2 linked regions of the Macaca fascicularis genome follow. The protein of the gene in region 2 binds, or shares a complex with, the protein of the main gene of each other region. Links are inferred from orthologs where the notes say so. Each region holds a gene or a part of one and is shown on either strand. Other genes may lie near its edges.

Region 1 (8,048 bases), on a different chromosome or scaffold from region 2:
ACTCCAGTAAAGCAAGGATGGAAGCACAGGATAGAAGCATCGAAGTGAAGGGCCGGGCACGGTGGCTCATACCTGTAATCCCAGCACTTTAGGAGGCCGAGGAAGGTGGATCCCTTGAGTTCAGGAGTTCGGGACCAGACTGGCCAACATGGCAAAACCACGTCTCTACTAAAAAGAGAAAAATTAGCTGGGTGTGGTGGTGGGTGTCTGTAATCCCAGCTACTCGGGAGGCTGACGCAGGAGAATCGCTTGAACCTGAGAGGCGGAGTCTGCAGTAAGCCAAGATCGCACCACTGCAACCCAGCCTAGGTGACAGAGCGAGACTCCATCTCAAATTAAAAAAAAAAAAGGAAAAATAACCACTGTTGACAAGAATGTTGAGAAACAGGAACCCTTGTCCATTGCTGGTGAGCGTATAAAATGGTACAGCCGCTGTGGAAAAGTGGCAGGTCCTCAAAAATAAACAGAATTACCACAGGATCCAGTAAATCCACTTCTCAGTACGTACCCAAAACAACTGAAAGCAGGGACTCGAACAGATACTTGTATACCAGTGTTCATAGCAATAGCCAAATGTTCATTCATTAACAGTCAAAAGGTGACGACAACTCAAACGTCCAACAGATGAATGGACAAACAAAATGTGGTATATACAGACAATATACACTGCACCCATAAATGTATTTAACCATAAAAAAGAAATAGTACTGATACGTGCTACAACATGGATGCACCTTGAAAACACTACACCAAGTCAAAGAAGCCAGATACAGGCCAGCTGTGCTGGCTCACGCCTATAATCCCAGCACTGTGGGAGGCCGAGGTGGGTGGGATCACTTGAGGTCAGGAATTTGAGACCAGCCTGGCCAACATGGTGAAACCCCCATCTCTACTAAAAATACAAAAATTAGCCAGGCGTGGTGTCAGGCACTTATAATCCCAGCTACTTGGGAGGCTGAGGCAGGACAATCATTTGAACCGGGGAGGCGGAGGTTGCAGTGAGCAGAGATTGCGCCACCGCTCTCGAGTCTGGGAAACATAGGGAGATTCCATCTCAAAAAAAAGGCCAGATACAAAAGGTCACATATTATATGATTCCATTTATATGAAATATCCAGAATAGGCGGATCCAGAGGGACACAAAGCAGATTAGTGGTGGCCAAGGGCTGGAAAAAGAAGGAAATTATTGTTCAATAGGTATCTTAGTTCTATTTGGGTTAATGACAACATTCTGGAAATGGATGGTGGTGACGGTTGTACAACATGTTCTGTTCTGTTTGTTTTTGAGATAGTCTTGCTCTGTCGCCCAGGCTGGAATGCAGTGGCGTGATCTCAGCTCACTGCAACCTCTGCCTCCCGGGTTCAAGCTTCTCTAGTCGCTGGGAATACAAGTGCCCACCACCATGCCCAGGTAATTTTTGTACTTTTAGTAGAGACAGGGTTTCGCCATGTTGGCCGGACTGGTCTTGAACTCTTGACTTCAAGTGATCCACACGCCTCAGCCTCCCAAAGTGCTGGCATTACAGGCGTGAGGCACTGCGCCCAGCCTGTACAACACTGTTAATATACTTAATGTCCCTGAATTACACTCTTAAATATGAGTAAAAGGATAAATTTGTTAGGTGTATCTTGGTACGGTTAAGAAAAATGGAAGGCGTGGCTCCAAGAAAAAGAGGAAATTCTCCAAAGAGGAGCCAGTCAGCAGTGGGCCTGAAGAGGCAGCTGGCAAGAGCAGCTCCAAGAAGAAGAAAAAGTTCCATAAAGCATCCCAGGAAGATTAGAATGCAAATTGACATTCTCTGGGAGGTGGGACACACCATAGCCCAAGGTGACATCTTCCACCCTGTGCCCTGTTCCCCAATAAAAACAAATTCACAAAAAAAAAAAAAAAAAAAAGAAAAATGGAAGGCTACACAATAAAACATTATTATTTTTTGTTTTGTTTTGTTTTGAGAGGGAGTCTCGCTCTGTCGCCCAGGATGGAGTGCAGTGGCGCGATCTCGGCTCATTGCAAGCTCCGCCTCCCAGGTTCATGCCATTCTCCGGCCTCAGCCTCCCGAGTAGCTGGGACTACAGGTGCCTGCCACTACACTCGGCTAATTTTTTTGTGTATTTTTTAGTGGAGACGGGGTTTCACCATTAGCCAGGATGGTCTCGATCTCCTGACCTTGTGATCCACCCGCCTCAGCCTCCCAAAGTGCTGGGATTACAGGTGTGAGCCACCGCGCCCGGCAATAAAACATTCTTATTGACTTTCGAGTGGCAAAATAATAAAGATCATCATGCCTTCCTTCCTCTTTACTGTGTTACCAATTGCATAACGAACATGTATTATTAATTATGCAAGGCAATGCATATAACTGGCTTTAGTTTATAAAAGAACATACCAGCATACAGTCCATTAGGCTTTATTACACTGCAGGGCCATCCAAAGCAAGAGCCTCTAGATCTCAGGGTGGTGAACAAATCTCAAATGGGGTTTCGTGCTCACTTGGATGACATCGCTGCTCATCGATGTGTAGTTAACATCCTGGCAGACCTTTCTGCTGCTGGATGTGTGAGGGGCACAGCACAGGGCTCTGGAAGTCCCTGCTGACTGCTCGAAGCCTTTCTCCATGCCAAAACCTCTGACCAAATGCTTAATGCTATCTGCTCTAGGCTGCTGAGTCTGCCACACGTTTGACATTTATTCCCACATCCATCCCATGAAACAAGCAGGGCTTTCCATTTTACAGATGTGAAAACCACGGTTCAAAGAGACTCAATAACCCACCCCAGGACAAGTGACAGAACTGAGACTTCTGACTCCAAATCCTATGCTCCCCCACCACACCTCTTTGCCTTTCAATTTCACACCAATGGACTGTCTGGGTGACCCTGGCATAGGTTCTTCTAAGAACTGGCTCTTAACAAAAACTTCTGGCCATTATCTGACTGAATGTCACAAACGAGTGCTGTAAGAACTTGCTTAGAGCCTTTTTCCTAAATCTGGACACCAGCTCTTGCCTTGTGAATTTCTTCATCACAAAACACACGTTCCCAGGGGCCCAGGCAAAGTCTCCAAGTACCCAATCCCCTTTCTTCAGCTGTGCCCACACCCTCAGCCTTCCTATCAATCCAGGTGACCCAGGGTTACCCAGAGGCCCAGGCCCCAGTTGTTTACTTGAACATCTGATGTCTCCCAAACACCTGCGTGAAACGCTCTCTGTCCAGGATGTGTCCATAGCGCAGGGTGACGTAGAAGGTCTGTTTCCCGCTGTACCGCTGGATACGCATGAACATCTCCTGAGGCTGGTCCTTGGTTTCTGTCAGGGGAATCACATCTGCCAGGGGACAGTATGTGTCCTGCCGCCAGCCCCAGAAGCTCAGATGGGCCACCCGCAGCATGGTGCCAGACTCATTCAGATACAGGATACCAACCAGTCTCCGAAAGAAATAGCTCATCCAGCAAAGCATGGTCAGGGCAAAGCCCGATATCCCACTCATCAGGCACACGGTGTTGAGAGTCAGGAGGCCCTGGGAATACCAGTAACAGGCTGGTGGCAAAACTACCACTGTCAGGGCAGTCTGTGCCAACTTCAGTCGAGACAGGAACCCAAAGATTCTGATGGCATCAAAACGGTAAAACATCCAGAATTTCTCAGTCTCTTGGTTTGGTGGTTTCTCCTTCGAGGTGGGTGACCTGCTCCCCACCCACCTCTTAGGATCCTCCTGCCCACTGCAGCACCACAGCCCATGGAGAGGCCTTTCCCACGCAGCTTTTCCCCGAAATCTAGGCACAACTCGGAGAAGGGCAGCCTGAAAGGGAGACAGTAGACGATTTCTCTCATGGAATTCAACCACATTAATCACACGGTGAACATCTGCAAAGCACCATACTCGAAGGCTTCTGCCAATCCTGCAAGGTCACCATTATTGCCAGAGGAAGGAAGGGTAAAGCCAGATGTTATCTCATGTGGGCATCACAACAGCTATCTAAGATAGTTATCACTATTTCCACTTTACCACTAGGGAAACTAAGCCCAGAGAGGGTAAGATATTTACCAAAGAACACACAGTCAGTGAGTGCAGCAGAGTCCTCCTTCCATCAGGCAATTCCAAAGAAATACAAGAAAGGAGGTGCGGCCATCAATAATTCAAAACATATCTAGGGAGTCCCAACTCTGGGCTGGACAATGGATCCACAAGGGGGTGTGAACATTTCCCCAAGCAGGAAACTGAATAATCAATGTCTTAGTGGGGAACTCAAGCAACAAATCTGTGAGACAGCTATCCCAACAAACTTTCTAATTCTGTTTACGTTATCTTGGGTGCTGGAGGGAACTGCTGCTTTCCCTTAACCTAGTCAGGGGAAGGGGAAACAACGAGGAGGAGGAGGAGCGGGGCAGGGAGGCCCCTACACGTAGCACAAACATATTATTAGGTGGGTAGTGAAGCAGTAAAAGCTCTGGTTCCAATTCTGGCTCCATCAGTCACTACCTGTGGATTCTTGAGCAAATCACTCCACACCCCTGAGCTTCGGTTTCTTCGGCTTTCAAAATGGGGACTCAGAACACAGTGAACGAGAAGATGGTTTCAAAGCCCTCAACTTAGTACCTGATGCGCTGTGAGAGCTCGGCGAGTTTTAGCTATTACTACTGTGAGCACGTGACGCAAGGAGGGCAGAGAAAGCCCGGGAATGGCGAATGGTAACCCACGCCAGAGCTTCCTCCCACGGATTCTTCAGGTCCGAAACTCAGGCGTCGTGCCTGCCTGCCCCAGCTCTGACCCCGACCGACCCCCAAAGAGCATCACCCCCTCAAGGATCGCCACCAGCCTCCTTACCATGGCTCCACAGCCTGCTGCCGGAAGTAAATCCCACCGGCCCCCGGAACCTCTAAGAGCGCATGCTCGAATGTACAAGGCGGGCGTGATCCGCGTTGCACCCTGGGATTTGCGGTCCAGGAATCGTGGCTGGCGCTAGTCCCAGGCGTTGTGGGAACGGAGTCTCCTCCTCTTCCCGACGTGCCCTGCGGCTCGGGGGCCGAACTCGGAAGTTCCGGGCCGAGTTCCTGATGTCAACGAGTCTTGCGAGGTGCGGTTAGACGCTGGGGACATGGCAGCGCCTGGCCCAGCGCTCTGCCTCTTCGACGTGGATGGGACCCTCACCGCCCCACGGCAGGTAAGTGGCGCCCGGCGGGCTGGTGGCAGCCGACTCAGAGTCCGTGCTGTTCCCAGTTGGAGCTATCGACTACCCAGGGTCGGCGCTAAGGGCTGGCTAAGGACCGCCTGCGTCCTCACGGGGGCTGGACCCTATTCTAGGTGCCCTGGAGGGATGAGAGGGAGGCCCTAACCAGCTCTTCAAGAGCTCTGATGCTTGGAAAGATGAGACGGGGCTGAAGAACTCTTAAGAGAAGGAAACTTATGCTTGGTTGGAAAATGCAATCTAGACTCACCGCTAGTCCTCGGGACCGATGGACCAGGATTTGAACCCGACATCAGCTGTGTGCCCCTTATCAGCTGTTTTCCGGCCTCAATCCTGTAACCAATGGGCTGTGCCGTGAGTCATTATATTAAAAACAGGTTTCCAGGTGAAATCGACCTAGTGGAGTCTCATCTTCACCTCTTCACAGCTGTGTGACCTTGAGCAAATCATTAACCTTTCTGAGCCTCAGCATCTACAGCTTTAAATGGGGATATTACGTGTTCCATATGGTGACTGTGAGGATCAAATGAGATTGTGTAAGTTCTTGAAAGTATGTTGCACACAGCACACTAGGCCTCAGTAAATAGTAACCACCTCCACCACACCCATCTCCAGCCCCTGCAGTGGACTAGGAAGATGGAGGAGCCCTAGGTTATTACAGGCTGCCCGCTGAGAGCCTCTTTGGGCCTTTGGAAACTTGCTTTCCACTTCCAGATTTTGCTGCTACAGGCACAGATAAGTTTCAGTCACTATCAGCCTTGAGATGAGGCTTTCCTGTCCCCTTTTCAGAAATTGGCCACTGACAACCGGCCATTTCAACTTGAGACTGGACCCCAATGGTCTCACTATCCTCAACTAATATCCTCACCCCTCGTAGTCTTCGCTTGGTGGTAACTATGGTGTGCTCCAGAAAGCCACGTCAAATGCGTGTGACCTTAGACGTATCATTTTGCCCTTCTCAGCCACAGTTTTGATCTACCTAGTGATGACACTCAACTCCCAAGTTCTTCAAAGGCTTTTTCTGATTCTGAAATTCAGCTATCACACACTTGGGGTTGTTAAAAGCCCATAGTGGTCTAATACTCCGGTCCCCAATTCATTTTTTGTAAAGGGCCATATAGCATATACTTTTGTCTTTGCAGACCATATGGTCTACAGTAGCCACTGAACTTTAGTACAAAACCAGCCATAAACCCTATGTAAACACAGAGTGGCTGTGTACCGGTAAAATTGTATTTATTTGTTACAGAAACAAACAGCTGCCCAGTGTGGTCTGTGGGCCATAGCGGTCTAGGGTTTACATTGCCAACCCTTTTTCATGATTTCGCTGGACCCTCTCAACCTTCCTTCATCTTTCTTTCCAGGTAGGATAGTTGTTATTACCTTTTTAAACATAAGGAAACACACTCAGTGAAGAACTAACCTCCTCAGTTTCACACAGTCGACCTGGTACAAGCCCCTGAGCCTCAGGACATTGGTTCCTGTCAAGTTTGCCATTTCCTATCTGTGCTAAGGTGGAAGCTGTCCTAGTTACTAGGTATGCCATTCAGGAAAGTGCTTCTGATCTGATTTTCACAGTTCTGACTCTTCTTTTTTTTTTTTTTTTTTGAGACAGAGTCTCACTCTGTCGCCAGGCTAGAGTGTAGTGGTGCAATCTCAGTTCACTGCAACCTCCGCCTCCCAGGTTCAAGCGATTCTCCTGCCTCAGGCACCTGAGTAGCTGGGACTTAAGGCGCCCGCCACCACGCCTGGCTAATTTTTGTATTTTTAGTAGAGACAGGGTTTCACCATGTTGGCCAGGATGGTCTCCATCTCTGGACTTTGTGATCCACCTGCCTCAGCCTCCCAAAGTTCCGGGATTACAGGCATGAGCCACTGCGTTCTGACTCTTAAGGGCCACTCCTGCAGTTCTAGATTTTGTCTAATAGGTTCAAATTCCACTGTGAGAGTAGAAAAGATTGCACTCTATTACAAGCCCTTCTATGCAGTTTTATTTTAATCAGATTCATGTGTTACTCTAAAAAAATTTTTTAAAGAAAAATCATTGAACTCCAAGTGTTTATATACTGACGGTGAATTAAAAGGTTTTTTGTATTTTCTAAATTTCTAGTAACTTTTTAAAAAAGATATTCAGGGCCAGGCGCGGTGGCTCACGCCTGTAATCCCAGCACTTTGGAAGGCCGCGGGCGGATCACGAGGTCAGGAGATCGAGACCATCCTGGCTCATGCTGTGAAACCCCGTCTCTACTAAAAATACAAAAAATTAGCCTGTAGTCCCAGCTACACGGGATGCTGAGGCAGGAGAATGACGTGAACCCGGGGGGCGGAGCTTGCAGTGAGTGGAGATGGCGCCACTGCACTCCAGCCTGGGAGACACAGCGAGACTGTGTCTCAAAAAAAAGACATTCAGCCGGGCGCGGTAGCTAACGCCTATAATCCCAGCACTTTGGGAGGCTGAGGCGGGCGGATCACTTGAGGTCAGGAGTTCGAGACCAGCCTGGCCAACATGGTGAAACCCTGTCTCTAATAAAAATACAAAAAATTAGCTGAGCGTGATGGCGGGCGCCTGTAGTCCTGGTTACCTGGGAGACTGAGACAGGAGAATCGCTTGAACCCAGGAAATGGAGGTTGCAGTGAGCCAAGACCACACCACTGCACTCCAGCCTGGGCGACAGAGCGCAACTTCGTGTCACAAAAAAAAAATAGACATTCAGTGTAAATGTTTAACTAAGATTGCTCAAAGTACTGAGTTTTAAGACTTGTAAAAATACATTGTGATGTATCTTGATGTAGGGCTGGTTTTCATCTTAGTTTATAACTTTTTAAAAATTATCACACAGTTTGGAATTTATCATAAAGTCAT
Region 2 (8,095 bases):
CCTCCTCCTCCTTCCTATATACCGTTTATCTCTTTCTCTCTCTCTCCCTCTTCCCATTCTGTCTCCCTCTCACTCTTTTCCTCTCTCTCTCTCTCACACACACACACACACACACATATGTGTTTAATTCCATTATTAGTTCAAAATAAGGTAATCCAAAAGAAACTGTCTAGAGAAATGGTAGAAAGAATAAAAACACACATCAACTTAAATATGTCAAAGAGCCATATCGTTTATTGGCTACACTCCCAAAACCATTCTTGTTCTCGATAAACCAATTGTGTCTGGTCTGGACAGGTGTGGCTCCAAAATCTCATAGAGAGTTTACTTCTGTCAGTGGTATTATTAGAAACAGCAGGGGGAGGAAACAATCTCAATCTTAAATCCCAGTGTGCAGAAATCACAGTTCTAGGTAAATATCAGCTTGGATAAGGCATCTCAGTGATTATAATTTTCCTCAACATCCCTAACAAATCCACAGGTAGAAGAATTAAACACCATGCAGAGATAAGTTCCACTTTAACCTGCAATTCACCCAGAGCTTTAGTTTCAGACTGTAGCAACTCACGTAACTGGACAACATTTGGATCTACCTTAGTCCAGTATAGCAGAGTTCAAGGATGTCATATAAATTTTGATTCAAAACTCTTGAGAAACTCTTTACAGCTGATCTCACCTGCCATATCATGTCAAAACAAAACAAAACAAAACAAAAACAATCCCAAACTAAGATCCTTTGGAACAATGTTAACTTGGGCTGCATCTAAGCTAAACTGAATCCCCAAGTTCGGATTATAATCAACTATGCTTCAGTAATTCACTAGATCTTGATCAATTCCAATAATAAAAGTTGTTGAGGAGGGAGAAAAAAACAGGAGTTTGACCCATATGGGGAACTTGACAATCATGTTATTGGATAATGCATATATCTGGAAAAGCACAATAGTCATGAAAGTTATGCTTTATCACAAAAGTGAAGATTTACACTAGAATAAATCCAAATAAAAAATTATTTTTAACCAAAAGATAAATTATAAAGCTATAATTTTGTTCAGTGCAAATGAAATTACTTTGCTACCTTTCACAACTCTGTAATTAGCTTGATAAATATTAAACCCATGAGGAAGAGCTCCACTGTACAAGTTTTTTTAAAGACCGCTTAAAAGCAACCTTTAACAAGCTAAGAAAACAAGCTAGAGAAGATTCCAAATCTGCGGTACTGAATCTATTCTTATTACCAATGGTGATATAAACAACCTGATGTATGAAATCGTAAATATCTATCAATAAATACTATAGTCTTACTTCCTTTTACTTTAGCAAGATATTACTGAATTATGTACCACTGAAACTATATTACAATAAAAATTTCCCCCAAACTGAAGCAAAATTTTACTCTCAAATGGAATATAGTTTAAATTACAAGTACCAGAACCAACAAAAGGCAGAAATATTATATAGCAACCTCATAGCCCACCTTTCTTCTTGACTGGCATTCTTAGGTCTTTCCACTGCCACAGAATTCAAGATCTCTTTTCAGGTCTCAGTTTGATCCAGCTGGTTTGAGGCCAAGAGCCAGGTAACTGTTGCAAACCACTTCACTGCTCAGTTTTGAAATCCAGGCTGAGTCTTCTATGTCAGATAAAGAAAGTAATGATGTACTTTTTCCACAACTAAACTTTTTACACCGCCCACAGAGTTTACAGAAACGTAATTTTTTAGTTTTTCAAGTTTTTCAATGTTCAGAAAATATTTAGACTGTTTTTACAAACTGGGAAAATTATTGGAAACATGAAGAACGTTACTGAAATTCCTCTTCAGGCAGCAACATTTTTGGAAGTTCAATGACTAACTCATTTAAGGCACAAACCAAATTTAGACAGCTGTCTCATTACTTTATACATGGTCAAACTGAAACATGATGAAAAAGATCCTCAAATATGTAGAGAAAAATTTAACCCCACCTCCCAAAAAATACTTTTAAAAACCTCTTTGACTCCAGTCTCTAAAAAGATAGGTGAGTTTGAACAGTTTTCTGTGGCAGAACACACACCGAAAGGCCCCCTTCTATTTACTGATCAGAAGTTCCGGATCTCACCCCTTCAGTAACTCAGAATCCAGCTTGCTGTCACTTTCATTTTTTTCTTCTGTGCTCTCCAAGCCCCCAGGCTTGATCCTTAATGCACCTCTGATTCTGATCCTCCCATGTATTAACAGAGAGGATTGAAAAAAAAGGAAAGCAATCCCTTGGCATGGAGACATTAAAGTGACAGTGCTACTCAATGGGCACTTGATGCAGGATGAGTTGGCGAAGCAGATTTCTTCACACTGGAGTCATTCACATCATGCCATCTCTTCGCATCCAAGCAGCTCCCTATCCGGCGAGGAAAAACACTGAGACTTCGAGAGAAGCCAAACCTTCCCCCAAAGGTGTTTTCAGAGACGCCGTAGTAGTATTAGACATGTAAGCATAAGCTATGCAAACGGTCCGCGATTTCCTCAAAATGAAAAAGTGCAGCTGCTTGGCTTTCACATCCACATCCTTTTCTCTCAATCTCTCTTCAAACTACCCACCTTCCTTTTGCAGAAAAGACAAGACATTTCTCTGCCACCGCTGGCCACCCCTGCCCAAGCCCCGTTCTTTTAGGGAAGAGCACTGAAATGTCCTGCACCCTCCACGCGGTGAAGTGTTTCTTCAGGCAGGAGCAACAGCAGCACTAGAAATTATATAACTCTCGAATTTGGCTTCTCTAAGACACGGAGACTGGAGGGTCGGGGGTTGCCGGTCTGGGAGATACTGCTGGGCATTTAACGTGCACAAAACAGCGCCAGGCCTTGCAGTGCCCCCCACCCTGAGACACGACTGACAAGTGGGTCTTCTCGGGGGGTAGTGGGCAAATTTCTCTCCTGTCTCCTTCCAAGCGGGGCTAAAGGATGGAAATTGAGGGGACTACAGACTGGGGAGAGGAGTCAGACGGCTGAGAGGAGAGGAGGCTAGTCGGGGCTGCTCTGACGGCGCTGGGCGGCTGGTTGGGGGTTTGGAGGAGGAGGTGCCCGAGAAACAGAGCTTTAACACCACACGGGCCAGGGCAAAGGGGCGAGTTCCCTCAAGGACTGAAAGGGGCAGGCAGCTAGTTCCCAGCTACCAGAGGTGCCCTGAGGAGAGGCAGGAGCGCAGTAACATTCCAACATTTGGGCCGCCCCATCCTCCCCACAAGACGCGAGGAAAACAGGGAGCTAAACTGACAAATAGCAAGGGAAGGAAATACTCTGCTGGCGATGGGGGCGGACCCACAGGCACCTGGACCTCCTCTAAGCGAATAAGTGGCCGTAATTTCTAGACACCGCGCCCAATCACAGACAGGATGGAGGGCGCGGCTTTTGACTGAGGGGGGCGGGCCCGGGCTGCAAGCGAGAGGCATGAGCCGTAAACCCGCACCACTTCCCGCCCACCAGCAAATCACGTGAGCCATCAAAATGGCGGTGTTCGGGTATGAGGCTGGGGCCAAGCTGAGGGATTCAGGTGTGGTGCCGGTGGTAACTGAGGAAGCGCCCAAGGTAGGCGGAAATCCGAAGTGGTATGGGGGGTGATTTCTGCAGCTTCAAAGTGTTGGCAGAGTCTTCCAAGATGATACACTTAAAGGAGATTTGAAAAGTTAAAACAGCCCCCAAGTCCATGCAAGGAGCAGTCGATTAAGTCTCCAGCTGTTGTGGAAAGAGGCGGAGAGAACGTAGATTACCTAAGTTCTAGTACTCATTATCTGCGGTTTGTTTTCTCTTGTCTCCAGGCCTTTGCACAGGCTTTTTCTTCAACTTGGAATATTTCCCTGCTTCTATCCGTCCCAACTCCCCTGCCAAATTGTTCTCTTTCGGATATTGGTTTAAATGTCACTTCCTCCGGGAAGCCTTCCCACGCCTCCTCTGGCTAGATTAAGTTTGCCTTTTCTTAGGTTGTTGGGTTTTTCGTTTATGTCACTCTCTCATTCTGTGTTTAAATTGCCAGCATTTTTGTTCTGAACTCCCACTACATTGTGGATTCCTGAGGATGGGATGACTGTATCTTGATTACTCGGAGGCCTGGCATATACCAGGTGCTCCCTAAATTATGAGAGAATACTGAATAAAATTCTAAAGTTGAAATTTATTATTAGGTGAAAAATGTATTATTAGGTGAAATAATACACATGAAAGCACTACAAAACCGTCAAATGATTTGCAAACTATAAGCCACTCTTACTGGTATAAGCGTGGTGACTAGTTGAGTGGCCTTAAGAGGGGAGGGGTGTAATGAAAGCAGTCGATTCTTTGACAGTGCCTTGCAAAGCTTAAGCACTCAATAATATTTCCTGTGTTCTTTTCAGTATTTCAGTATTTGCTATCCTGTAATCATAATCCTGGGTGTCTGCTTTCCCTATAGAGAGTTTAGGGTGTAGACTAGGTAGGAGATTAGTAGAAGATATTGCCTGGAAGTTTATTTTGTTTTTTGTTTTTGGTGGAAGGTGGAAGGTGGAGGACTTCAGTGAACTGGATGAGAGCAAAACAAAACTTTATGTAAGGTTTATGGTTACTCATGTTATTGACATCTGCCATCTTAGTACAATAGATGGGTTAGGTATAGAACCTCCCTTAGATGTTACTATCCCTTATACTTTCCATTTGGGTGTCCAGGAGAGGAAAAAGATGTAAGTCTAGTCACTGAAAAATTGTAATTTGTAAAATATTTTACTTTTTTTCCCCCTGCCCTCTCCAGAAATGTTACAGAAAAAGATTGAGTACAATTCTGCGATGATGCAGAGAAAGAAATTGGTCCATTATTACTCGTTGTGTAATGCCATAAGAAGGTTCAAAGGAGCTCATAACTTACGTATGTTGATGCCAGGAGCCGTGTATAATCAACTGGCCCTTCTATAGTTAGGATTGGTACATACCGCTCATTCAGCAAATGAGTATTACGGTAATATTCAATATGTGTCCATTGACTACAGCATCAAAAGCACTTGGTGCTATTAAAATGCAGATTCTAGGCCTCATCCTACTCCTGCTGAATCCAGATATCTCAGGAGGGAGTTCATGAGACTGCATTTCAAATAAATACCCCATGTGATTCTTGTGCATGCTGAAGGTTGAGAACCACTGATTTATGAAGTATTTTGTGTATTCATTATGCTTTATCCCGTCTAATCCTCTTGTCTAGGACTCCTTAACTTTGAGATTTAGTATTTGCCTTCAATATAAACGTTAAAATTGAGATTAGTGTACATTTGTAAAGAGGCTATTTGGCTAATCTGGAGGAAAAAGAGTAAAAAGCAGTGAATTTAGCGGCAATAGACTTTCCACTTGGCTGCTGTAGTAGGTAAACATTTGCAACTACATGTTTGGATTTAACAAATGTTATTAAGATTTTTCACAGAAACTAGAGTCTTGCCCAGAGCAAAACATTCAGAAAGGATCCTGTCTGAGAGTGCAGGGTTTGTTTTCTTGTTGTTGTTGATTTGTTTTGTTTTTTAATCTCTCTAGTTTCTGTTAAGATGCTACTGGCCAAGTCTTCATGGTCCCTTGACATTGGCAGCTGTCTGTTCATCACACTTGGGACACAAGAACCTTCCAACCAAGGAGCCCAGTGCTTTGGGTCTCTGGGGCCCGGCGCGGTGGCTCATGCCTTTAATCCCAGCACTTTGGGAGGCCGAGGCAGGCAGATCACTTGAGGTCAGGAGTTCGAGACCAGCCTGGCTAACATAGTGAAACCCCATCTCTAGTAAAAATACAAAAATTAGCCAGGTGTGGTGGCAGGTGTGGGTCTCTGCTATACTACATAATCATTTCTAGCAAAGGCTCTGCTTCCACCACAGCTGGTAATAGGGAACTGGTTATGTAATTTATGTACTTCAAAGTAGTAGCCACAATCTACTGCCTGTTCCCTTCCTGGAGCAGTGTCCCTCTTTCTGATTTTTCTCTCTCACTGTTCTCCAAGGCAATCCCTGCTCTCTCCTACCTCTCTAGGAAATGAAACACGATTTCCAAAATGAACTCAGTCTTTCATGAGAAACTGAGGATAGAGATGTCAATAAGCAGCCATTGTTTCCACCTCCCCACCTGAAGAGCTAGGAGGACAACTACAAAGGGCCTGACTGCCTTCTCAGAATGAGGAGAGAGGAAAACAGAAACAGTATCAGCATGTTATCCCTCTAAACTAAATCTTAAGCAAGCCAACCTTTCAGACCCTCAGTTTCTCATCTGTATAGAGATAATCATTATACTACCAATTTCTCAAGTTAGTGTGTGAATCAGAAAGCCAATGTCTGTGTGTTGTAGGATGTTTAGCAAGAAAATAAAAAATAATAACAAAAAGCCAATGTCTAACAGATAATAAGAGCTCAGTAAATGTTGATTGAATTATTAACAAAATATGTGAAAGCAGACAACACAGTACCTGGCACACTACTAAACTGTAAATGTTTTCAAATCTGAATCTGTAGAATTCTGTAAGGTTTTATGTAATATGAATATCATTAGCTATTATGGCTCTGGAATTTTTTTTTCCAGGATGTCAAGATGACAGCATCTATGCATGGTCAACCCAGTCCTTCTCTAGAAGATGCAAAACTCAGAAGACCAATGATCATAGAAATCATAGAAAAAAATTTTGACTATCTTAGAAAAGAAATGTAAGAGAAATACCCAGGCTGAAAATCATTTTATTTGCAAGTCTTTTGTATTGCCATTGTTTCTGAGATCCTATTCTTTGTTATCCTATTCTTTGAGTTGGTTATGAAGAACACATCCTTAAAAAAAAGAATGAGGGAAACAAGAACAGATGAAAATAGTGGTTTGTTGGAATATTTGGGATTGTGGATAATTTCTTTTGTTTCTTAAAAAGTATCCAAAAGTATTGCTAAAACATTTGTGCAGTAAATATATTTTAATTAAAAGTAAGAGAAAATCATTGGGGGGGTACTTATATTTAATTGGTGAGTAATTATAATCAGTTAAGGATTGATTATCTCAGCCACAGTACTTAGTACAGCAAAAGGGAATACAGATTTCATAGTATAAATATAGTCTCACATTAACATATTGACTTTTTTTTTTTTTTGAGATAAGAGTCTCACTCTGTCACCCAGGCTGGAGTGCAGTGGCACAATCTCGGCTCACTGTAATCTCCATCTCCCAGATTCAAGTGATTCTCCTGCCTCAGCCTCCCAAGTAGCTGAGATTACAGGCGTGTACCACCACACCCAGCTAATTTTTGTATTTTTAGTAGAGATGGTTTCACCATGTTGGCCAGACTGGCCATTTTGACTTTTAAATGAATGGAGTTCAAGAATAAAACCAAAGGACAGTTGATCTTATTTCCTGGATTTAGGTATGGGTCTTAATAAGAAAACTAGATCAGATTTTTTTGGATGAAATTTTCTAAATCTTGGACAAATTATTTTAAATGTATCTGGGACTAATGCAGAAATAGAAGGCCTAACCAAATGTAAATAGCTTTTTTTTAGCTGAACTTAAGCAAAGTAAATCTTTTAGTTGCAGGAAAGGTATTCTTCGATTTGGGTAACTCATAAAATTTGGCTACATTGGAGCATATTTATATTTATTTGTGACCAAAATTATTTAAAAGAGCTCTATTTTAGAACTACTGTAAATATTATCAGAAAGAGAATCATGTCCTCTCATTGGAATACAAGTTCTATGAGGGGTGGGAAATTTCTTTCCTTTTCTTTTTTTCTTTTGCCTTGTTTACTGCCCTATCTTAAGCACTTAGAAAATACTTTTCACATAGTAAGTGCTCAAGAAGTATTTCATATTGAGTAAATATGCAATAACAACTTTTTAGGAAAGGCTGTATCCATTAAGTTCAATGTTACAGTGAACTGAATTTTTCTTTTTTTCTATTAGGACACCAAATATATATCAAATGACGTCATTTGGAACAACAGCTGGTTTCTCTGGAATATTCTCAAACTTCCTGTTCAGACGCTGCTTCAAGGTTAAACACGATGCTTTGAAAACATATGCATCATTGGCTACACTTCCATTTTTGTCTACTGTAGTTACTTACAAGCTTCTTGTAATTGATCCTTTGTATTCAGGT

What was found.
Region 1: TMEM126B (region 2) and TMEM186 share a complex: the UniProt entries of both Homo sapiens proteins name them as parts of the mitochondrial complex. The link is inferred for Macaca fascicularis from reciprocal best matches to the Homo sapiens genes TMEM126B and TMEM186.

The regions. Positions count from the first base shown.
Region 1 is NC_088394.1:9,560,748-9,568,795, forward strand, and holds TMEM186 (transmembrane protein 186), read right to left. Parts: upstream 4,853-8,048; 5' UTR 4,828-4,852; coding exon 4,825-4,827; exon of another isoform or gene 4,480-4,824; intron 3,799-4,479; coding exon 3,160-3,798; 3' UTR 2,393-3,159; downstream 1-2,392. Other genes in the region: PMM2 (phosphomannomutase 2), read left to right, coding at 5,096-5,161. UniProt on the Homo sapiens protein: As part of the MCIA complex, required for efficient assembly of the mitochondrial complex I.
Region 2 is NC_088388.1:84,667,859-84,675,953, forward strand, and holds the start of TMEM126B (complex I assembly factor TMEM126B, mitochondrial), read left to right. Parts: upstream 1-3,466; 5' UTR 3,467-3,477; coding exon 3,478-3,558; intron 3,559-4,506; coding exon of another isoform or gene 4,507-4,551; intron 4,552-4,750; exon of another isoform or gene 4,751-5,517; coding exon 5,518-5,706; intron 5,707-6,000; exon of another isoform or gene 6,001-6,172; intron 6,173-6,543; coding exon 6,544-6,665; intron 6,666-7,899; coding exon 7,900-8,093; intron 8,094-8,095. Other genes in the region: DLG2 (disks large homolog 2), read right to left, coding at 1,478-1,496. UniProt on the Homo sapiens protein: As part of the MCIA complex, involved in the assembly of the mitochondrial complex I. Participates in constructing the membrane arm of complex I.